Linked DNA regions of Lepisosteus oculatus. The protein of the gene in region 1 interacts with the protein of each later gene in a pairwise test. Links are inferred from orthologs where the notes say so. Each region holds a gene or a part of one and is shown in the gene's direction. Other genes may lie near its edges. The genes, in order: itsn2b and larp6a.

The links.
Region 2: the proteins of itsn2b (region 1) and larp6a interact in a two-hybrid assay, tested with the Homo sapiens proteins (2 studies listed by BioGRID, with this or other methods). The link is inferred for Lepisosteus oculatus from reciprocal best matches to the Homo sapiens genes ITSN2 and LARP6.

The regions. Positions count from the first base shown.
Region 1 is NC_090697.1:20,598,683-20,611,335, reverse strand, and holds the start of itsn2b (intersectin-2), read left to right. Parts: upstream 1-6,929; 5' UTR 6,930-7,129; intron 7,130-12,653. Other genes in the region: intron Large complex component GCFC2, read right to left, coding at 441-538, 1,258-1,479, 2,022-2,153, 3,740-3,838, 4,282-4,603.
Region 2 is NC_090700.1:56,390,459-56,402,893, forward strand, and holds the start of larp6a (la-related protein 6a), read left to right. Parts: upstream 1-7,301; 5' UTR 7,302-7,346; coding exon 7,347-8,041; intron 8,042-10,913; coding exon 10,914-11,112; intron 11,113-12,251; coding exon 12,252-12,435. UniProt on the Homo sapiens protein: Regulates the coordinated translation of type I collagen alpha-1 and alpha-2 mRNAs, CO1A1 and CO1A2. Stabilizes mRNAs through high-affinity binding of a stem-loop structure in their 5' UTR.

The DNA.
Region 1 (12,653 bases):
TGACACTTAGTAATGAATCGATCCAAGGATGCTCTTGTCCGAGCACAAAATCTTCTACCATAATGTCCACCTACCTCAGATTATAAATGTATTTTGCCACACACCCAAACAGAACACCTCTGTACAGGGTTCAGGCACTGCTGATACATGAACAGTGACTCCCATCACAGAGATACTATTTTGCAGATATTTCAAAGTTACTAATGACATCACAGGTCTTACTAACCCTTCACTTAACATCTTGTGTTTGCTGTTGCTGAAGAAATGTACAGGACACTTATGCTACAACAGGATGGATGAAATAACAGTAAGATGCCATGGAAGCAAAAGTTATTAAGAGCTTTAATTATAATCTGCACTATAGTCATTTGAAAAGTTAAATTCAGAGCTTTAAAATATTAACGGCACAAAGACAAAAGCAAGACAGAAGGGAGTCCCACCTGAGGTCTCTTCACTCCTTTTCCAATTTGCTGTTCCACCCACAGATTCTGATCCTCATCTTGGCTATTTGATCTTTCATCCTCACTACCGCTCTCACCTGTGATTTTCCCAAGGAAAAGTGTGTAAGGCATAGAACATGACAAGACAGCCAGGTCTTTCCAAAAGCTACATTTTTTCCAAAATACAGTAAAAACATCCAGGGAACAGGGGGAAGGTTAAGTGCGTGGAAAGTCTAAATAACAGCTTCCCTGTAAAACATTGCTTGTAAATCACAACATGCATTTTATTACTGCAGCATTGCAATGGACTCTACACACCTAGTTCCCCCAGACAACCTGATCTGCACAGTGTATTTTGCTGCTAATTTCTGTTCATTTTGACAAATGTGAAAACTGATGACATCAGAATGCCGATAAACCACGGAGACTAGGGTCCACATAAAACAGCGGTCTAGTTCAACAGAGGATCAAACGTCATTACCCTTTAAGTTTGCGCAATGTAAAAAACAAACAAGTTTTCACTTTCCGATACCCTCCTAAGAAACAAATTAAGGACTTGGTCTGATGTACCCACTGTCCAATGCGCAAGTAAAAATTAACAAAAAAACAATGTTGTGACAGTTGAGTCAGAGCTGGGAAATTAAACCGGGTTTGCTGGGACACTAGCTTATCACCAAACCTCCAAAATCTCACGATTCTATAAACGGCCATTCACCTTATAGCTTTAATCCTGTTAGAATAACGGTACTCACACATCAATTTTTATCATTTAGAACTTCGCCAGATTTGTGAAAGTTTACTATACAGCCTCACTCACTCATCTTTTCAGCTATTCTCTGTCTCAGGGTCTTCGGTTTAGGTGCAAATGGAATTCTCCGCTGGTGGTCATCGGGTTCATCATCGCTGTCTTCCTCCTCTTCATCTTTTAACACTGGACTGCTCCCGTGTCTCGTGGCCAGAGGAATATAGTCCTGCCGTGCTCTAGCCAGCTTACGTTGCCTTCTTGCAGCCTCAATTTGTAGAGCATCAGGGATATCACCTGCGCTGATCAAAGTTTTACACCGTGTGTAAAAATAAACTACACCCAAAAGCCAGCAGCTAAAAGACTACATGCAAATTACAGAAACTTTAGAACACATTACACCTATTAAGTTCTTCATAAGCCGTTGATTTAGGAGATTCATCTTACTTGCTATATACATACAAGGTGTCAAAAGCCCCCACTGCAATCTCACATATGGATGTCTGAGAAAGGAGTTCAAGAAACCAACACTTTTTTGGTTTTTGGTTTTATGCCTCAGTATTTGTCTAGCCACAGTGCAGGTAGGCGAGTTAAGTTCAGTCTGGTCTGTAAACTTTTTTTTTTTACAAACTAGCTTCAGAAAGACGAAGCATTGAAATACACGCCTCTAAACCTCCATGGAATATTATCCTGGACACTTGTCGAAAACACTTTTCCGGAATGGAAATTTTAGATGACAACGATAGAGCAATACTGAAGACCAATTCATCACTTACTTTCTAAAAGATTATAAGAATGAGGAAAAAATGCTCAAAATTTCTGAGAAACCTCCAACAAACCTGGATCAGACACTGAAGAGCTGGAAGAACTAGATTTTTGGGAGCTTGTATCATCGTTGCTTCCATCCTGAATTTTTTCACCTTCGGGTTTATCGTCCCCACAGTCACTCTGTGAAACAGGACCCTTGGGGCCTATAAAACACAAGCAGGAACTGTCAAACTCACATCTTTTAATTTTGAAGAAGCAATCTTAACCCCCATTCCATTCCAAAAAAAACATTTACAGAACTAATGTTAAGTCAGTTACTTAGAAATAAAAACATTACTTGCGCAGGGGACCATATAATTCTCTGTTTTGCTCATTCTTGATGCCAGTTCTTTACCAATCAACTACAGAGCAATTAATCAATAGTGATTTCATTTTGCCTCAGTATAACATGCTCAGTAGTATGACTGTAACATAATTTCACCTATTTCCCCATCTTGCCTTTCGCTAATGTTAATAATAAAATGTGAAACTTAATTTTCAGTGAAGAGCTTTGCTTCTCTTGAGATGTTTTTTTCCCCCTAACTGAGTGAGGTTTGTTTAGTTTTGAATGCTCCAAGAGTATTCAGTCCAATTCAGAGTTTGTTTAAATGGCATTCAGCTGAGCTCATCTTATGGCCTGTTTTGAGTAGTGATTGTTTTTGCACTCGGTAAAGTGCAGTTTATATGGAGAACAGCATGAAAACCAAATGTCAATTGGGAAATAAATCAAACTGCAACAGAATAACAGAAAAATTCATTAAGACCACGCCAAAACTATTTTACACATACAAATATCTACTATATTTATGGTATATTTACTATTTGTTTCTCAGGGGTTGAAAGACAAAGGGTTGCAAAAGCTGCAAACAGTGCAGAGTCTATTTAAAAAAGATGAGCCAGATGAATTTCAAAATCAAAGACATAAAATAAGGCCACTGAACATAAAAAGGTTATTAACAGAAAAAGAGGCAGTTTGGCCTACATAGCCCACTGGGTGACTAGTAGCTAAGTGACCTGAGGATCTCATCCAGCCATTTCTTGAAAGAAGCCATGTTGAAGAAACCCGCTTCAACAACATGGCTGAGTAGTTTGTAACAGAATGCCAAACAAAACGCAATGAAACTCATTTCCAGTTAGAATGCACTAACTCTGGTCCAGCAACACCTCTTTGAACAGCAAACAGGTTTTTCTTGGAGGTCTCCCATTTCCAGGATTAACCAAGGCCAGACTACTCAAATCATGTTGGCTTCTAGACTTCTCCATTCAAGACTACGGAAAAAAAAATAATTTTGCATCTAACACAATGAACAAATTACTACACATTATTATTGCAGTGTAGTCACAAGCGAACCAATTCCCCCTAAAAATAAGGATGTTAACCAAGAAAACAAACCTCAGACCACTTTCACACAAACTCAGTTAAGGTATGTGAAGTGTGAATCTGCACATTGCCGGTGGTGGAGATGAGTTATCATTACCTGTAAAGTGTCTGGAAAAGCGCTATATAAAATGTAACAAATTATTTCTTTTTTACCACAGTTGAACTGTACCACCCCATAAAAAGTAGCAAACTTTGCTCGAATCCAAAGACCAGGTTTTCTATCACCCCAGATTTCTACAATGATGAACGTTTCAAGAAACGATGACATCATTTCAGGAAAATACACAGTGCCACCGAGCCCTGTTACGTCGAACAGCTAACATACACATCCGTTGTTATGAAACCATAAGAACGCAGTTGGCAATTTACCTTGTGAATTAAAAGCGGGAGGATTGATCTCTTTTGTTCGCGCTTTGAAAACGACGGCCTTGGCAACAGGCTTTTTAACCTTGAAGTCATCTTCGTCCACTGAAATGAAAATACACCAGCAGGTTAGGAAAAAAAAAAAACGTGCACATTAATTGAATGCAAAGAACAGAAACGAAAAACAACAAAACAATGTCAATAGCAGGCTTTTGATGACATTTTCTATAATGCAATTATAGATCAGAATGGAACATACGTTATATTTGAGTCCCTTTTTTGGCTGCATGGTTCAATAATGACTCCAGCACAGGTCTGAGCTCTAGGCATGATCAGCGATGACCCTCCCTACTGTGTCTTGGCTTAAACAGATATTCTTCGTTTCTGCTTCACCTGGGTTATGCTCGCGACACAGCGACAGCTCGCTAAAATATCAATTCTGTGAAGAGATCCCATGCATGTCATTTGCATCTGCAGAATCTACTGCAGGCTGTCTCCGTGCATGTACCACATCAGATTCACGCAGAAATATAAATACTGGGGCGTACCTTGTTTTTCATCACCGAAACTCAATAGAGTGATTTTATTTTTCGTCAGTTTCTTCTCAGCAGCGTCTTCCGCAGCCGTATCTTCGCTTACATTTTCTGTGTGCGGATTTTGTCCGGCGACTGAATCCGGCCTGGAGCTCCCGGACTCCCGCTTAGACGTGCAGGAAATCCCCCGGCTCTGCGGATACTTCAGTAACCGGGGAGCAACCGAGACCTTCACCTCGTCAGTGGCTTCTCCCTGCTCTTCTTGTGAAGGCTCATCTTCTCCGCTCGAATCTCCTTTCCTCCTCCTGAAGTTTCTCTTTGGTTTCTTACCGAACATATTCAGGTGGGAACTGCAATAATATCTCAACAGTGCGGATCGCAAATGATTATCTTATGTATTTTTTTTTTAAAAAAAGTACTAAGCCTTACAGCATCCCACGTGTATCTCGGTAGTGAAGTAAATGAAAGACTAAAGCACAATGAAACACATTTACATTTTTAAATGCTAAGCAAGTTAGCATAAACCAATTACTCCATCTTCATTTATGGGGGGAAAAAAGTACACTTACAACACTTCTTCCGATTTGCTTCAACAACATTTACGTTTGTACTTTCCGGTTCCCTGCTCTCCGGCTGCATCATGGGTAATGTAGTCCATAAACAATGCGTCGCTCTATTTCTTCCTTCAAGAACTCTGTGGAAATTAAAGTAAACTTGGCATTTTGAAAACCTTCAATAAAAATGTTAAAGAATTAGAACTTTTCATAGAAGAGCCTTTTTGAAAACTAAAGCAAACTATAATTAAAGGACAACGGTGCAGCCAGTTCTTGCTTGTTAAAGCCAAATAGAATTGCATAGCCACAGTTGGGCCCAGAAATCACAGTCCTTAAATATTCCCTCAGGCTGTGAGAGGCAACTTACTTTCTCTCTCCCTCCTACTTATTTAAGAGAAGTTAAGAGATACAGAGCTGTCAACCTATGAGTCAGTGCCAAAAAGAAAACCTCTGAGTTGTCCATGTAGCAGGTTCTCCTCTGTAACGTCTTGATTGTAGATTTCAAGCGTTCAATGACTCTAAGGCAGAGACAGACAAGTGTGCTAACTGAGTAGCAGAAGGGTGATATTCATTCTATTATGATGAGGACTTGGAGTCCTTGAATTTCTTTGGAATAAAACAGACCCAGACATCTTGGTCTTTCTTGGGCAACCAGGACAAAGGTTTTAGGTTTGGCACTTAGGTGCTGTACTTCTAACCTCATGAAGTGGGGACATTGGTCCCTATTCAACAGGCATAATGTTATCACCAAGATCCCCATGACATCCACTTTTCCTGTACATGCCTTGTCCCTGTCCTGGCTCAAGGAAAGTGAATTTTACATATGCATCAGAAACAGGCTTAAAGCACTGAATAATTAAAGTTCAGAGAAGCTGGACCTTGCTGTCTTCTCTTCCTATGGTGATTTCAATAGACATTTTAATCCAATATCCCGAATAAAATGGGCTGTAGAAGGATGCCTTAAGACTCAACAAATAGTACAGTTAATGCTCAAGGGTTCACAGTATGCCTTCTGTATATCAGGAGTCATAGGCTCTGACCTGTCACCCCACTTCACAGCAGAGCAATGGCAGCTCATTGTAGCACAGCTATTCTGTTCCAAGAACAATGGTGTCTCTTTCTGTTTTCATTCCAGCCTTTAACATGGTAAACCAGCTGTTTAGTTGTTCAAGTAGATTGATTTATTACCATAACCCTGCTCTTCAGGTGCTGCTGCTTTAAAGAGACCTTAAAAAACCTGCGGACGCACCAGGTCTCCAGGACCAGGAGAGCCCACCCCATGCTAGTACTGTATATATAGTGGATAAAAAAATATTAGGTTGAAATTGTATGATGTACACACTAATTTGTACATTTGTAAATGATCTAAAGTCTATTACATTGGCACTCCATTAATTACATCACCACAGTTTGAACAATCTTCCCCTTTCTATACTCTCTACTCTCAGTCCATTAACCAGTTCTTAATCCCAAAACTGAAGTTTCCCCAAATGCAACTAACTTTTAATTTGAGAATTTATTTTTATGGGAAACTTTTATCAAAAGCCTTTTGTACATCATAAAGTAAATCATACAGCCTGCTTTACTGTTGTTGCTTATTCAAGAACAAAGCGCTTAGGCAAATACTTTTTACCTTCTTTAACTTGGTTCAATTTTGTCGTCCTTTGTACTGCCAGGCACTGTATTCACTCTTTTTTGTCTTATTCTACTAGATATTATCATAAAGCAGTACATTTTAGTGTGTGTATAATCTCCACCAACTTGAGTTCCAATGCCTTGCAAAGTCAGATTTAGTAATTTCAGTACATTACAGTATATCATGCAGCCACATTTGAATGAATTTATTTTATCATCAAAAATCTGAGATGTGAATAAATATAATTTTAAAACTAAAAAGGAGTATCTGTTGTTTCAACCAATTTTATTTTTTGCACGGATAGCTTTTAAGGCGTAGTCCTGCAGGTATGCTGACAATGCATAGCTTTTTTGCTATTAAGACAGGCTGGGTGTGATGCGTACCTGAACAGTGAGAGGGCAGTATGTGCAAGGTTGCAAAAATGAGATTTCCCCTCCCATCCTGGGGTTGAATAGTAATCAGGCTCCGTGTTGTCAGCCATGTTGTTGGTGTAATACTACAGTGCTGCTTCTAGCAAGCAACAGGTACAAGACTGAAGCACGTTTTCTGGAAATAAACATTGAGTCTCACGTCTAATTACTTATTTTGACCGAGAACATTTGTTGATAATGGAGATTTTCCAGAGTCGGGATTAAACCAAATCCAAAATATTTTTGGTGTCCTTCCACGAAAAGTAAGTAAATTTAAGAATTATGAATACTTCATTATACATATACAATATGTATATAAATTATTTTACCAAGGAACATATTCTATGTATATATACATAAACATAGTTTGGTGCTGGAATTTTATCAGTAAGTAATGTAATTAAAGCTTTAAAATTGAAACTTGTCGGTTACATTGAAAGCGAGGATGTAAACAAGCACGAATACATAGGATTTTTTTAATCTAGTGTTATAAGAAACAGGATTACTTGATATATTGGGGTTTATGTTCTGAATCATTTATTGTGGTTGCAGCAGTAAAGAAATACATATTTGAAAATTTCCTTTTCACGACTCGCTTGGCAGGTTGTTGCGAATTTAAAGCAAGTGTCTTGCAGCAGTAGGCAAAGGAATGAAACTTCATTGCACTGGTTTCTCTGCTTTATATAAGGAATTTAATGAATTTCATGACTTTAAGAAATAATTTGAATAATGATTTTCAATTTTTAGAAACATTTACACACTGTTTTATTGCACTTCTGATGTATGGGTTGTTTTTCTTTTCTTTTTGGAGATTGAATTGTCTTTCATGTATTTTAAAATGTTAAGAAAAAGTGGTCTACATGTTTCGAACCACTTTTCTTAAGCATTTTTTTCGTGTTTAGAGCGTCAGTACAAGAACCCTCACAATTGTAACACGATGAATACTAGGAAATTAAACAATGATAAAGTAATTTGAGTCTAGTGAGTCACTTGAAGGGCATTTGTTCAATTAATGCAGGAATGTACTGTATATAGTGGCAAAATCGACCAGGTTCTTGCATTTTTTTAAAACGTTTTACAGTGAACAGTGAAAAGCAGTTTGATTATCTGGACGTTTTGTTACTTTGAAATCACTTGCTTTCTAACAGGAAACTTTTGATTCTTCCTGGCAAGCTGTGCGAGAAAAAAAAAATCAAAATGAAGACTCATTCGGTTTTTCATTAATGGATCCCATCCTCCCCCTTTTCCTTATTTGACTAAGAGAATCTCGGGTCAGAGATAAAAATAGAATATTCATGAATCTAGTTTGTTGTGTCCCTGCACGGATGACATTTAGATGCACCATACAGTCCTCTTCAATAAGGGGTGGGTGGAAAAGACTCTATTACTATTTCTAAACTATTACTAGTGCTATTAGAAACTGCTATTGGCTTTGTGTTGTTTAATGCAAAAGAGGCTGAAACTGGTTCGAATATTTTAACACTTCACAAGACAGGTGTGTTGTCTTGGGCAGCTGGGCAGCTGGGGACTAAAAAAATTCAGTCATGGCTGAATTTTTTTAACTTCTGAACTTATTACAGTAATTTATCATGCAACACACAATGTTTTAAGTTCCTTGTGTTCCCCTTTTTAGAAAGCCAGAATAAAACAGTGCCTTAAATTATGAGTCTTGTTAGGTTCCTGCATCCTGTTCGTCAGTTGTCAGTTAAAGCGGTCATATCCGATGTTACACGTGGTCAGACCAGGATGTGTATGTGAATATAACCAATCTCTTATTTCTTTGTATCTTCGAGTATTTGAACATATTGGGGAGTTTAATTCAATAATTATTTTGTTACAGGATAACAGTCCACTTTGTTAATACTTTCATAACCTCAAGCCACAAGATGAGAAGGAATTTGCTGTAGATCTAGGATGATATTTTTCCTTTTTCTGCACTGTAATCCCTTTTGGTGTCTCTTTAAACCATCTTCCTTATGAATACAGAACAGTTAGAGTTTGTCTGTTTTGTGTAGGAGTTGTGGCAGCCAGAGAGTGAAGGAGGATGTGTATTTTGACTGATGAATTGCAGTGCGTAAAGGGGTGGATTTATATGATATGAGCATAAGCAACATTACAAATCTAAGGATGCCATTTGGCCCATCTAGCTAGTTTGTTTGCTAGTAGCTAACTCGGGTATTTTATCTAGCCATTTTTTGAGCTATTGGGTTCAACAACATGGTCTCTGGTTTCCAGATTCCCACAACCCTTTGTGTAATATGTGCCTAACATTTTCATTTGTAAGTGCCTGTCTCCTTAGTTTGCACTTGTATCATGTAGTCAATGTTTCACTGATGGCTCTGGTATATTGGTTTGACTTTGTCTGCACCTCAGAGAATTTTAGTTTATGCTGGCTGGTGACTTTCACTGGTGCTACGTGTATATGTGAATATTGTTGCAAGCCTGATGTTGTCACACATGACTTTCAGTTCTGTGGATGACGAATCTTCCCTCATTTTAATCCAAAGGGTGAGATAAGCAAATGAATCATTCTGTTTGTGAACAAGGAGGCATTACTGCGCTGAGAATAAACTACAGAAACTGACAACAGAACCTGCTCATGTTTGTTTCCTAGTAGCTGATTGGTCAAAGCATTTTTACTATCCATTTCTTTAAAGAAGCTAAGTTACTCTCTTCAGTAGCATGGCTAGGTATCTTGTTCCAGACTACCACAACCCGCTGTGTAAGAAATGCTTCTTGTTCTTTGTTTTGAATTCTTATCTATCTAGTTTCCACTTGTCCTTTGGTTCTTGTTTTGCTGTTGGTTCTCAAGAAGTCTGTTTTGTTGTCTTTGTCTGTGCCTCACATGATTTTGAAAACCTCAGTCGCATCAATCAGAATACAGTAAAAAAGAACACCAGAAGCAAAGAAAAATGGCAAAAACAATTTTATCTCCAAGGTGCTTTACATACTTACATGGCTGTAAGTGAGCAGCACTACATACAGTATTTCTTTTGTGTATCTTAATGTAATTTAATATTGAAAATTCTTGAGTTGCTTTGCTTTCATTTTCTGAATAGCTACTTCTGTAGCTCTGATTTGTGATTGTGTTTTTGAAGTCTTTGGTCCAATGATGCTAGAAAAATAATCATAATCACAAGAACTGGTCCTATACCCATTTGAACATGAGTGTGCCCCACAAAGATATTACTTAATAAAGTGCATTGAGCTGTCTTCTCCATAGGAATGACAGGTCATACTGAAAGTGATACTAATATAAAGATAATTGAAGATTATTGAAAGAACAGAATTAAATACAAAATTTCAGAACTCCAAAAATAGCCAATAAGGTCAGTAGGTTTTATGTGGGAGTGATTGCATGAGATTCATTTTAGAGAATGTAGTAGAACACAAAAATAAGATATTGATTTTATATCTTCAGCTGAGATATAGTAATTTATCACAAGCAGGTAGTAACATACCCTGAAACAGATTGATTGATATTACTGCTCAGTGATCCAGCGAGTTGTCTGTAAGAATGTGACATTTTTATTAATGCAGGCAAACATGATTTTTAAACATGAACTGAAACTTATCCTCACACAGTTTGGCAAGTTTGGAATTGTAATCATGTTTCATGGAGTTTACTTTAGCATTGCCTGCATATTTTAAAAAAAAATATTTAGCTATTTTAGCAACTTTTAGTCTCCACACTTTGTTTAAAGTAAACATATTTGAAAAAGATTTTTAGTTGTGTAATGCTGCAGATATGCAGTGATTTTTCTGTAGGACAAAATGCACTTTGCATAACATTTTCAAGGCTGGAATTCAGAGAGGAATACTGATTAGAATGGAAAACAACCAGTTCTACCAGATGTTTTCTCTCAGCATGTAGATCAGGTTTTCAGAGATGCAGGTTAAAGCTAATGTCTGCTTTGTTGGTGTTTGGGATCATTATTAAATGCTGACAGTGGTCTTTTAAACTTTCTTGTTTTTCTAACATTCTTTCAACTAGCTAAATAAATGCAAATGTAGGTATGTATGCAACAGAAAAGCTAGCATTTAGCATTTGTTTGGAGAACAGGAATATGGTAACACACCTAATGGGAGTGTTTGCAGTGGATACATACTGTACATTGAAAATGGCACATTGCCCATACAATAACAGAAGAATCAGTACAACTGGAAGCATTACAATTTAACATCAGGCATACTTTCTATTTAAATTCTATTGTTATATTATTAGTTTTGCCCTTTTACCAGAGGTGTTAATCTGACATGCACTTTAGTGGCATATGTCTTGAAGAAATTACACTGTATTCTCCTATTAAATGATTTGCAGCACAACATTAGTTTTATAATTTATTGTACTGTCAGTGTACTGTGATCAGCAGTATGTAATAACTGCACATCATACATAGCTTGGCTATATGTCTTCAGTCTTTATGATACCGAACTTGTAAGCTTTGAGTTTTCATTCATATTTTCATCTCTTTTTTTCAGAGCATTAATTTTTAATCTAACCAAGCCAACCTGTCTTTAGAAGGATATCATTAAAAGTGTGGAAGTTTTCAGAGTGTTGTATTTTTTTAAAAAATATAGGAAATAATGAATAAAGCTACATGTGTATGCTTACTAGCCTGTGTTTTTTATTGTTAACTGAACTACTTGCCTTTAAATACATCTTTTACATCAATCAATTAGCCTGATTCAAGAAGCAAAGCTGCTCCGTGTGACTAATAAATTGTTTGGATAGGTTCCAGTGTTAATATAAATTATTTTATAATGCAAATATGTAATCATATTTCCCAGTTTTTGTCATCTCAAATTTAACAGCAGGTGTGCCCACAGAACATATTTTCTGAAACAGGCAGTGGGTAGATTTATTTAGGTCGATTATTTCACTTTTTGCCAAAATAAAACAATCATGCATTTAAAGTTCTGATGTACAGTGAAAACTACAGGACCCTATAGTCTTTGGGTTTGCCCACACTGATGTAAGTGAAGGTGGAGAGAGGAGAAGTAGAAGTGAAAGCTGTAAATACTAGAATAACTAAAACACTGGTGACCTCAGTACAGACTTTGGAGATTTTGAGAGCCGGAGGGGAGCTAGTAAAGTAAAGGGACTCGTGGTCTGAGTGAAAGGAAACACTACGGTTTCTGTGTGTGGCCTGAATGCAGACATTGTATTGAATTTGGTTTGCTTTGCTTGCGAGCACTATTTTGTGATTAAGGGTGGCTTGGCAGTTCCTGTGTCTGCCTTAGAGCTCTTGAATCCTGGGTCTGATTGCAAAATGGGATCCGTTCTTTGTGGAGTTTCCATATTTTGCAGGTTCAGTATCACTTGGGTTTTCTTGGACTGCCAGAGAATGAGAGTTTTTCTCACCTTCCAAAGATATACTGGCTTGGTGAGCAGGTGCCTCGAATCTAAACGATCCCTGTGTTCTGTGTGCTTCTGTTCACGTGCCCTGCGATAGACTTGTATCTTCTCCTGGACATTGTTCACCCTTATGCTTCCTGTTTTCTGATGTCCTTACCAGAATTAAGGTGCTCTCTGATAATGAATGTATGTTGTGGTTAGTTTATTGCATTTGCCTACTGCTTTGATGTGTGTGAAGGTGAAATGTAATTACCCAATAAAATCTTAGAATTCTGCTTTACAGCTATGGCTGGAAAGTACTGTGACATGTCTTATTTTCTACTTATTTTAGTATGCAGCAGGCCTCTCAAACTTTATTACTGGAGAGCTTAGTGTCTTTTGGTTTATTCTGTTGTTTCACCTGAACTTTCAAGTACAGAGCTGGTCTA
Region 2 (12,435 bases), on another chromosome or scaffold:
ATATTCTTTTATATTCGTAGAATTTGACAATTCTGTTTTAAAGGAGAAAAGAAATCTGTTCTGTTTAAGACTATAAAGGGAATAACTCAATCATCTTACTTTTTGTCCAGGTAACTTCCAAATTCCTTATGAAGTTATCACAATTGTGCCAAGTAAGACACCAGATTTGTACAAACAGCAGGTTGTGTGCACATTACATAGTTTGTTATTAATTTGCTCATAATTTAGAATCTTTGACAGGAAATATGAATTCATGAGAAGTGATTAACCAAACCCAAGTGTCCTGAAGAAACTCCTCAGTTCTCCTGTTCAGAATGCACATGGAGATTTTATGTTCTATCTTTCTGCCTTTCATTGAGTGAAGAGTTATCTCCAGCACTGGGTTATCAGCTTGGTGAAGTCATAAGTCAGATGAACAAATAATAATGATGGAATTGTGCCAAGAGCAGCAGTTAGTTTCCAAAATGAGACTTACTGCAGAGGAAAAAAATAAGAAGAATTCTTCAGTTTAATGGATTCTACAAACCTGTGGGATATCTCGCTTAAGCTACACAAGACATCCTGCTAAGAAACAAGAAATGACATGAGATATCCTGTTCTTATTTATTACCGTATGTATGGTGAATTGGCCTGTCAGAGACCCCTGGGGTGAATTTGTCTATAAATATCTTGCCTGACTCAGATGGTGAGTGTGACCAGGGAATGAAGAGCTGTATATCACTCAGTGATTCAGTGGCAGATGAAACACACTTTAACAGGCACTGGAGCCAGTTATACTGCAGCTCTTTGAATACGTTTTTTACAAGCCTTTAGAGCAGGGGCATCCAATGGGTCCTGACAAGCCCCATTCCAGTTAATTTTATAGGTCACTTGGTTCTAAAGATCGGGAACAGCTGTGCATTATTGAGCAATTAAGCAAGTAATCTGCTCAATTAAGAGAATTGGGGAGGGGAGGACCAGAGTATTCAGAATTTGGTCCCATACAATATCTCAAAATTATTTTATTTAATAAGTCATCTGAAATCCTTACAGTGTTTGTTTAAACAGTTTTTTAAAGCTGTTGAATATGAACTAGAAAAATATCAGTGGAAACTACACAGAAGTGCTTTTAAAACTGGTAACAGGAGACACTTCTTTACCCAAAGAGTTGTGGGAGTGTGGAACAGGCTCCCCAGCCATATAGTCCTGGCCTCTTTCAAGAAATGGCTAGATGAGATCCTTGGAACAGCTGGCTACTAAGTTCAAAACTCACTCATTCAGGCCTACTGCTTCCATAACCAAGTGTGTGAAATCTGGAAAACCAGTAATGCTTGTTTTGGCAGTGTGTGATACAGTGTAAATCTCCCATGAATACAATTTCTTGGTAACCCAGTAAAAAAGGTGTTTATGTGCAAAAGGTAAGAAGTGAAGAATTCAATAAAATGTGGGCAGACAAAACTTTATTTCTTTAAATTTTTATTGGAACCACAACAGCAAACCCAAACACTCCTAGATTACAAGAAACAGTTAAAAAGATCCAAGTAAAAAAACACTGTTATGTCAATCTGTTTGTGTACTGTAACTGTCTGTTAATGCTGATAATTTTTTTCAAAATGCATCTGTCAGTTACTATCTCTCATATTTATAAAACACCTAGATCTTTTGTTTGAATATATTTCTAGACAGCTAATAATCTTGAAAATGGAAGGATCACCTCGTTTGAATTTGTGCACATTTCTGCTTGCCATTAAAAAATATACAAATAGGAAGTAAAACACTTTTGAAACAAATGTAAAATAATACAGAATACAATACCACAGTGCATACAAGTCATTAATAAATAATGATAAAGCTGTGAAGATATCACAGAATTCAAACAGCCAGACTGTAGAGATTCCTTCAAAATTCTTCCTGGTATTTGAAAACAGCAAACGTGAGAGGGGGAGGGGAATTAAGAGTTGGAGGGAGACGGGCAGCGCTGGAGAGAGTAGGAGGAAGGAAATTCCCCAGTTCGCCTCCGCGAAGTCACAGTGTTACATATGGTGTGGGCGTAACCCGGCCCCACAGGAAGAGCACTGACACAGCAGTCTGCGAGCAGGCATGTAGCTCAGTGGGTTCATTCAGTTGTGTTCAGCACTCCGTACATCAGGCGCTCCACAGAATCTGTTTAAAACCATTGCATATCACAGTGGAGAGAATGAAGATCATAATTGCATCGAGAAGTAAGACAATAAGACACATTTATTCAATTAATATAATCATTTTTGTTAGGAAACCTTCACTGGTTAGAGAGGGCACGAAAATTGGATCAGCTGGTGCCAATCTTTTAAAGTTTCTGTTTTGGGACAGAAGTTCAAACTTGGTCCCATATGCATCATCCGCAGATGAAAGAGAATTTTGAAGAGTTTAGGATATGCGTTTTTCACAGCTGCAATTTATGTATTGGGACCAGTCTGATGACAATATTGTAGTGCAGTTGTTTTGCACTGTCATTCAACACCATGGTCAATTAGCTTAATCAACAAATCATGCCTTTTGCAAAATAAACTTACATGTAGGAAGTTATTAATGGCAATTGACCGAATGTACAGGGTGAACAACAGTCACAAAATGAGTGTTTCGGTGACATTTATGAACTTAATCTTCTCAGCCAAATGAATAACAACAAGTTGAAAATCTATAGCAGTTTGCATTAAAAAAAAAACATACTAATAAAGTCTCATTGGATCCAACAGTCCAAACCCTAAGGCTATCTCCCTATATATTTCAGAAGAGGCCTGGATATCACAGACAGAGTAAATGACGTCATACTAGGTGACCTCACCAAAAGGTCTTTAAGGCTTTTCAATTCAAGCACTGATGAAGCACCTGGTAATTAAACTTTGTTCTAACCCCTTTTTACACTCAGACAAGCTTTCAACTTGCCTTTCCAGCTACAAGCCCTGTGCTGCATGCATGCTGTTACGACACGCCCGTCTGACGAGGTGCGCCCTCCACAGCGCCTTGGCGAATCAAGAGAAGCAGTCAGAGGGATGGCAAGCCTCTCTTATGTCACTGCAATCCTGGAGGTGCACAGACGGTCTTAGCAGACATTGAGAGGCCCAGGTCCGCCAGGCTTGCTGCTCGGCCAGTCGTGTCACAGTGAGTTCAGGCCCGGTCCAGACTGGGCACGCCAGGTGGGTTTCCACTGCTTGGAGAAACTGAATTTCTAATGGTGCCACCTTGGTGCAGCAGGATGACAAACCTGCGCAAGTCATAACCATTACATCCCAAAAAGGTTTAAGTGCACAGCAGATCCTCTTTCAGAACTTCCAAAATGCTCTTTGAGCCAGCACCCTATCTATTGACATTTAGACTGATTTGTACTGGTCCGTGGAATACCCCTAGCACCGAGCTCTCATGTCTGTCTCATGGAATCTCTGGCATCATATTTCAACATTTCTTGTTAAGCCTCACAGGTACACCTCTACTATATTCACACTACAGCTAAAGACAATGCAGTTCATCCACAGTATGACACTCACAGCATGGGCAATCATAAACTCCAATGGCTCTTTCTTCTGTGGGGAGTGACATTAGCCCCAAGGTCCCCACTGAAGAGAGGTGTCCCCTTGAAGGACACAATGAATTAAGAAAATAAATGTTACAGGTACATTCCTTAAAGCACTACGACAACACCCAGGGAAATATAATGAATTTCAGAAATCCAGCTTTTAACACAGCAGCCTGTCGATTTGTGAAGAACCCAGGAGTTAAGATTGACTTTAACATGACTTTGTATCTCAACATTAACCTCACTTTTTGTTTCACTAACTTTGTGTTCTGATATCAATATAGTGTCTACAACTCAGCTTCCATCAATGTCCCCAGTTGCGTAGGGAATACACTTTGTTTTATTAACCCATTACCAAAACACAAAACAGAAAGCTGTCCTATATATGCTTCTGTAAAACTAATCAGACTGTTAATAACCTAAAAATGAAATGCAGTCAAAGCATCAAGGGTCAGGCCTGCCTCTTCATAATCACTTAGAGCAAAATCAGAAATAATTCAGTATTTTTTTTTTACTTTATTATAATATATCTTGTTAATGTGAAAATAGGTTTCCTACTCTCAGTGAAACCAGTTCAAGTAACCCAAATTAAATTTTAATTACATAGCATTTCCTGAAAAAGTTCATATATGATAAAATTAATTGTAGAATTAAATAATAAAATATATGTAAATATATGTTATAAGCTGTGTGGATGAGTCTTTAAATTATAGTCTCACAATTGTTATCATGTTTCTCATTCTGAAATGTAAAGAGTATGTTTAGAAATCTGCTAATATTTCATAACCACTAGAGAAAGGTTTGTACAAAAAGCTGACTGATTGTTATGAAACATAAATCGGCTCTCCGGCAGCCTCACAATGATCTTTGCTCCTCTGTGCTGCAGGAATGACAGCACATGAAAGCACCAGGAACCTCTCAGTCAAAACATTTCCCAAAACAAAAAGACCTTGAATAGCATATACTGTACATTTCAGACACGAGAGCTGTGCAGCTTTAGCTAACAAAAACAGATGTTTTAAAAATTCAATACAGTACTGAAAGTAGATCACAGTGATGAAATTTCTACATGTTTTATTAAACAAGGTATTGTATCTTTAATACAAAATACATTTTCCAAATAGAATAGATAGAATATTCAAACTATGAAAATATGTTTTTAGTGATTCTATACACACTGCTTCTCAGTTTTCCAAATGAATGTACATCTGCTAATAATTTATACAACATCACAAAGCTTCTACACCCACCGCTGGCCATATTACAGTCCTAAATGTTCAGAAAACTCTGTTCAGCAAACTGGCTTTTCTTTTAATAACACAGCATCTATATGTCAATTAAACTGGATCAACATGCAACTGTTTGCAAATGAAAACTAAATTAAACAAGATGTTTTTTTGTTTAGCTTTCCAGAATTTCATGCAGTGTCTACTTTTTTATGTGTGACACAGCAATACTTTCTTCATGATGCAAAGAGATCAGAGCAGAGGAAACATAAACACCCATTACAGCCCAGACAAGCAGAGACAACTTGGAATGTTAACGAGGTCTGAAACCTCAGACGTCAGTTCAGTCCTATGATATTGTCTTCTGTACGGGCAGGTCCCAGGTCTGCGCTTAGACCAGTGCTATCCCTCTGGGGCATTGCCACACTGCCACCCCTCACACCCCTCTGGGGCACTGCCACACTGACACACCCCTCTGGGGCACTGCCACACCCCTCACACCCCTCTGGGGCACTGCCACACTGACACACCCCTCTGGGGCACTGCCACACCCCTCACACCCCTCTGGGGCACTGCCACACCCCTCACACCCCTCTGGGGCACTGCCACACCCCTCACACCCCTCACACCCCTCTGGGGCACTGCCACACCCCTCACACCCCTCACACCCCTCTGGGACACTGCCACACCCCTCACACCCCTCACACCCCTCACACCCCTCTGGGGCACTGCCACACTGACACACCCCTCTGGGGCACTGCCACACCCCTCACACCCCTCTGGGGCACTGCCACACCCCTCACACCCCTCACACCCCTCACACCCCTCTGGGGCACTGCCACACTGACACACCCCTCTGGGGCACTGCCCCACCCCTCACACCCCTCACACCCCTCTGGGGCACTGCCACACCCCTCACACCCCTCACACCCCTCTGGGGCACTGCCACACTGACACACCCCTCTGGGGCACTGCCCCACCCCTCACACCCCTCACACCCCTCTGGGGCACTGCCACACTGACACACCCCTCTGGGGCACTGCCCCACCCCTCACACCCCTCACACCCCTCTGGGGCACTGCCACACTGACACACCCCTCTGGGGCACTGCCCCACCCCTCACACCCCTCACACCCCTCTGGGGCACTGCCACACCCCTCACACCCCTCTGGGGCACTGCCACACCCCTCACACCCCTCACACCCCTCACACCCCTCTGGGGCACTGCCACACCCCTCACACCCCTCTGGGGCACTACCACACTGCCACACCCCTCACACCCCTCTGGGGCACTGCCCCACCCCTCACACCCCTCTGGGGCACTGCCACACCCCTCACACCCCTCACACCCCTCTGGGGCACTGCCACACCCCTCACACCCCTCTGGGGCACTGCCCCACCCCTCACACCCCAGCCAACCCTCCAGAGAAGGACAGTCAGCAGGATAGTTTGCTGTAGTGAGTCACTGGCCTGGCAGAGCAAATGTGTTACCTCATTCAGTGCTGAAAGTGTTCTGTTTTTGTTGACATACTGAGAGCTACCACACTTAGGACATGTGCTGACTAAAATAATCCCTTTATCAGGAATTCAAAGCACTACAGCTATTAACAACATATCACAGGCAGTGAATCATAGGAATTGGTTGTTAGATTCAGGTCTCAAATGGGATGACTTATCAGTTTCAGTTTTGTCTGTAGCAGAAGACATAAGACAAGATAAAAAAGTAACAGCCTTCAGATATAGAAATGAATGTGCAGAATGATCTTCCCAAGAGCTGTCTTGCAAATTTTTCAGTTAAACTGAGACAAACTCAAAGAGCCTGCTTTTGGGGTGGTGGGTACTCTCTTTAAATAGAGACTCAATGGCACTTTCTTTAAGAGAAGACTCCTAACACCCTTGGTGTAAAGACTTGTTTCCTGCTCTGAGTCTTAAATTGTGGTCAAATTTAAAATTACACATTCAAGGAAATAATGTATAATTCTGGTATTATTCCTGCTTCTTGATAATTTAAAAATATTTGAAATTATTCTAAAAAACAGATAACAGCAATTTGATCTAGAGGTCGATCTTATTCGTTTATTCTTCTAAGCCTCAAGAAGACTAAGAAAATTTCTGTTTACATTCAACAAAACGTCCACGATATCTCCATGTTGATAAGGTGATTTTTATAACGCTCCGGCTGGCATTGACAAGCTTTTTTTAATCTGTTGTGAGTAATAAAATCGCTAATTGACAACCAGGTTAGATTAAGATTACCAAATGAATAAAATGTGACTCCTGTATTAGGCCTACCCTGTGTCCACAGGCGTCTTCAAACCAAGAATCTGAAATCTACATTTATTTTTAGTCTCCAGCACAGTCAAATCCCTTCGCAATCCCGCTCTGCTCTTAAAATGAAATCTCATTATCCAATTTGCAGGTCTGCGAAACATTGTGTGGATCGGCACCTTTGATTGGCGCGTTGCCCGTTTCTCGCTTGTTGTATGTTGCAACCACTTAACGCGGTGAGGGCCCCCCTACATTACTTATATTGCGTGCGTGTAGACACGCTCGGCCGCAGTCGTCTCCCCCGAGCACCGAGAGACAAGATGCACGCTTTGGTAAATGCGTTTCTGCGCTGCCTCTCGCTGCTCCTGCCTCCCCCCTGGTTTCAGCTCGGCTTTTGCTGGTGGGTTGGGGATGAGTGCAGAAAGACGGTGCTGCCCAATCCCAGGGCTCGTTTCAAAGGGAGAAAGCCTCTTACAGATCAGGAAGTAAGAGCAGAAGACGCTCCCGTCCCCTCCTCTTCCCCTAACACTAGGTGCGTCTCGCTAGCAGTCGCCTCCTCGCCGCCCCCGGGATCTCCTTTAGGGAGAATCTGGGAGCTCTGGCAGGCTTTTGAGCGTAACCTCGGGGCTCCGCTCGCGTTCCCCCAGCGCTTGTCCCCCAAGACCTGGGGTTCACGGAGCACGTACGCGGTGGCTTGTGCGAGCACCGAGCGAGGCACGTCCGCACCTGAAGTCGGTCAGGAGGCAACCGCGAAAGAGGAACCCGGGGATTTCGCGGTTCTGGCGGAGGCTGGGCTCGCTAGCCCGGCGATGGAGACGCCGAGCCGCCCGGAGCCCGGGTCCGAGTGGGAGCCGCGGGGCCAACAGCTCCAGGAGATGGGGACCCAGGTGAAAATCCGCGTGGCTATCCAAGCGGCGGAGGACGAAGACCCCGAGGGCGACCTGGTCCCCGATCACCTGTATTTCAGAGGAGGCAGCTGTAGCGAGGACGAAATGGGCAGACACGATAAGTCCAGGTATATTGTTGTCATTGTAAAATCAGTGTAACTGCCGTAATTGTAAACAGGCACACAGTAAAACCAGTTGTTTTAACACTTGTTACGTTTAGTCTGGGTGTAAATGCGTTGCCGATGTAAACTATAAAAAGGGTACGAACAGTTTTTAAACGCCGGGAGTGTCTGGAGGGGATCTCCTCTTCGACCACCTGTATAAACGCATATCTTGCCCAATGTGGCGGGTTGACCACTAAACTTGCAAAGCGAACGCCGTCGGATGACATCTGAGGGCGAGCGCTCTGTAGCGGTGTCTTCTGCTGTAACCTTTAGTCGTTTCTAAACCGAATATACTTAGAGCATCCAGATGTGAAATTGCGGTGCCTCTAGCAAGCGTTTATTTTTAGTATGGCGCAATTGTTTTCTTGTTCAGCATTTAATCTGATTAAATTGGCAGCATTTACGTCTCCGATGCTGCGTGTTTTAACTGAGGTTGCATATCTGCTAGCTGTTTAAATGGCGTTTTGCATGGGGCCTGTAGTGGGTAGGAAACTGTTTTGGGGAATAAACAGTTTATGCTTTGTGCTGCGTAAAAGAAATGAGCATCGCCAGATCCGACAGACCATAAACCAAGACAGCGCTCGCATTTTCACCTTGTAGCAGACCAAAACCATGCGGTGCCCTAAACCCTGTTTTTATTCAGTACGTTCTTGAAGAATCCTTCCTGTTTCTTAAGCTTTTCATATTGGTTACTTCAACGAGTTCTCCAGGTGTGAATGCTCGGGATTTACAGCACCTCAGTGGTACACTAGGTCGTCGTCCTGTTTAGGGGTGTTCTGGTAAACGGGAGAGATCCACCCCGGCAGTTTAATCCTCAAGGGCGCACATCAGCATTCTTCTACACCAACTGCAACAGGCTGTGCAAGAAGGGGGTTGGTGCTACTACAGATTTCGAATCCTTTCCCTTTTATGTGGGGGGGGGTATCCCCCTGAGTCCCAGAGCGTTTTTAAGTAGCTAATCCTACTGGAGATGCAGTATAAGCCTGAATTTGACGACGTCATCAAACAGCTATGACGCAGATGAGAGGCGTCTCTGTAGGATGACCGGGGAGTGACCGTTTCCACACTTAAGTGTGTAGGACCAAGTATTTAATTCAAATAGCTGCGCCATGGCGGCGAGCAAAATAGTAAACAGGCTAGACCACTGAATACGGAGCCTTCTTACTGAATAGGAGACTTCAGCAGCTTTATTCGAAGCTTTTGTAACGCGTCATCTTTTGGTTATGCTAGTAACCTTTCAAAGTACAGGCAACTTAGTTCATGATTACATGTACTGGCAGGGAGTATAATTGGTTTTGGATTGGAGTGAAATATGTCGGGCTTTGAAATCTGAAGAGCTGTTAGCCATCTGATTTATCACATGGCGTCCGTGTAGAATCTGTCGCTCACGTTGCGCTTGTGGTGTCTTGTGATCGCAGGAGCCGGAGGCGCTGTGGGGGAGGCTCCGGTCTGTTGCTGTAATGAACAGTAATTGCACAGCTGGTTCTGCTCTCTACCCCAGACGTTAATTAGAGCTCCCTAGGTCCACTGATGTCGAAGTGTCTGGTCTCACCTCAGGCAGGCCTGTCCTGTTGTATTTAGAAAGGGAGCTGAAAAGCATTTTCTGCAGTAGCCCTCCTCCCAGTTCTATCGATTTTCGTCGTGGGCAGAACTGATTTTACGAGCAAGTGTTACGGCAGTGTGCCTGGTGTGTACAGTTACCTTGGGGTGAACCTAGTGAATTAAAGCTTTTGGTTCATCCAGATAAAGTCCTGTGAACTGTTTGAGGAGTCAATTCAATTCAAGGTGCTTTATTAGCATGGCTGATGGGTACAGTCAGTGTTGCCAAAGCAAATAAAATGAAATTCACATGAAACAAAAAATAACTAATCTACAGACACTTACAACAATGACATAAAATATTTACATATACTGCAGACAGAAGGAACATTATTGGGAGACAGACTCACTGTTCCTCAGGCTGGGACAGGAGATCACATACTGGGCTGCCAGTTCAACTGAGTTCCCTCCTCCCTCTCCCAGTAGGATTGGGACCCGTTGTGATTCTGGCAGGTGTGGGAAGTCCCTGTGTACTTGGCAAAGAGGTGTATAAACACAGCAGCAGAGTGGGTGAGCAGTTTAAGATGGGAGGGGAAGTAGTCTGAAGGTACTCATGCTGTTGATACTGAAGTCCTGAAAGCAACTTCATTTCTGCCTTTATAGCTCCAGGTCTTTGAGTAGTGAACGTGTTCAAGTTAACTGACCAAACCAAGTGCTTTTAAATTAAAAATCTTAATGTCTGGTTTATTGTAAAATTCTGAAGATTTAAATATTAGAGATGGATGTTTTTAACATGCAGCAGTTACATGTGTGCAGGTAATGCATCGTTTGTAGTTTTGTGAGCTGTAGATGTTCATAGTACTGCGATTACCAGCATTTGCATAGTGTTGGAAATGTATTTCCAATTTTTGATGAGGGTTCTGTTCATCTATTCAAGGTGCCGAACCAGCAAGAAGGTAATAGGAAATGCAGCCTCTACAATGGAAAGTTAGTGCTTTTAATCATTTAATCAAAAATCTGGGTTTTCTTTTTCTGAATAAGCAAGGTACTGAACAGTTCCGTGTCGTCTTCATTTTTAAATGGTTTACAAATCCTGTGCTGGCTGTGATGAAAGCCAATGAAGTTATTGGGATCTCAACATGAGCAGGAGGATGCTGTGCCTCTCAAGAGCCAAGGAAGTCCTTGGTTGAAGAACTGAAAGTTTAAATACTTGGCTCAGTGGACAAATGGTACAGACTCACTGCGGGTTGAGTCTGGAAAGTGCTGCTTTGTGGTGAGAGCTTGTTCTCTTGGCCAGTGGCGCGGGGACCAGCGGAGGAGAGAATGAGGAGGACGGCTGGCAGCCCCCCGACCCCGAGCTGACCCAGAAGCTCATTGCGCAGATTGAGTACTACCTGTCGGATGAGAACCTGGAGCACGATGCCTTTCTGCTCAAGCACGTCCGCCGCAACAAGCTGGGCTTCGTCAGTGTCAAGCTGCTCACCTCCTTCAAAAAGGTACCCTGTGCCACAAGTGGGCCCCTCAGTTTAACAGGCCTGGTCTTATTGGCCACTATATTACAGGAACTGGGAAGTGCTTAAATTATTTCTAGTCTGTATTAGTATTGCACTACGAAAAGTAACTGATTGTAAAGGACTATTGTACCATTTAATTATCAGTTTTGTTAAACCTAACTAAAACCAAAATATGGAGTCCAGCTTTTTTGCTCGGTTGCAAGCTCTGCAGCTGTGTACAGGAGAACTGGGGGCTGTGGCCAAACTGACCTCGCCGCCTTTGAGCCCAACGCATGCGTGATTTTTTTTTTTCCAATGCCGCATGCTGTGGGGCTCTGCCGGCTGGAGGAGAGGTGCGCCCCTCTCTGCTGTACCCTCGCAGTGCCAAGTGCCCAAGAGGCTGCAGGACTGCTGGCAAAGTCTGGAGCCAAAGCAGTCTGATCCTAAACTTTCCCTGGGGGGCACTTGGACAACCGCACTGCTGCTTGGAGAATCCAGTCTGTCAGTTAGGCTTCCGTGGGGGTGTGAAGAAAATCAAGCCCCCAGCAGCCATCAGACATGATAATGGACCCCATTTACACATCCTTCGGATGAGACGTAAAACCGAGGTCCTGACTCTCTGTGGTCATTAAAAATCCCAGGGTGTTTCTCGAAAAGAGTAGGGGTGTAACCCCGGCATCCTGGCCAAATTTCCCATTGGCCTTTACCAATCATGGCCTCCTAATAATCCCTCTCTATAAATTGGCTTCATTACTCTGCTCTCCTCCCCACTGATCGCTGATGTGCACTATGGCTGCACATTGGTGGTGGTGGAGGGGAGTCCCCATTACCTGTAAAGCGCTTTGAGTGGAGTGTCCAGAAAAGTGCTATATAAGTGTAAGTTTATTATTATTTAAAGTAACTTGGCAAATGTGCTAAGCAAAATCCCTATCTAACATTAGTGAAGCCTCCTCTTCACCTTAGTGTAGCTCTCTGACATGTTGGCATTTATTGCACAGGGAGATGAATGAGCCTTGTGATCAGTTGCATGTACCCGCTTTGTATTCCTTTTAAAATAAAGTGCAAGCCCAGCACTGTGGAATTGTAGCTCACGCCCTGCGCAGGGCCGGAAGTAATCTTTGGTGAATTGTGCTCCCTCACAGGTGAAGCACCTGACCAGGGACTGGCGGACGACGGCCTACGCCCTGCGCCACTCCGAGCTGCTGGAGCTGAACGAGGAGGGCCGCAAGGTGCGGCGCAAGGCGGCCGTGCCCGTCTTCCCCAGCGAGAACCTCCCCAGCCGCATGCTGCTGGTCAGCGAGCTGGGTCCAGCCGTGGAGAGTGAGG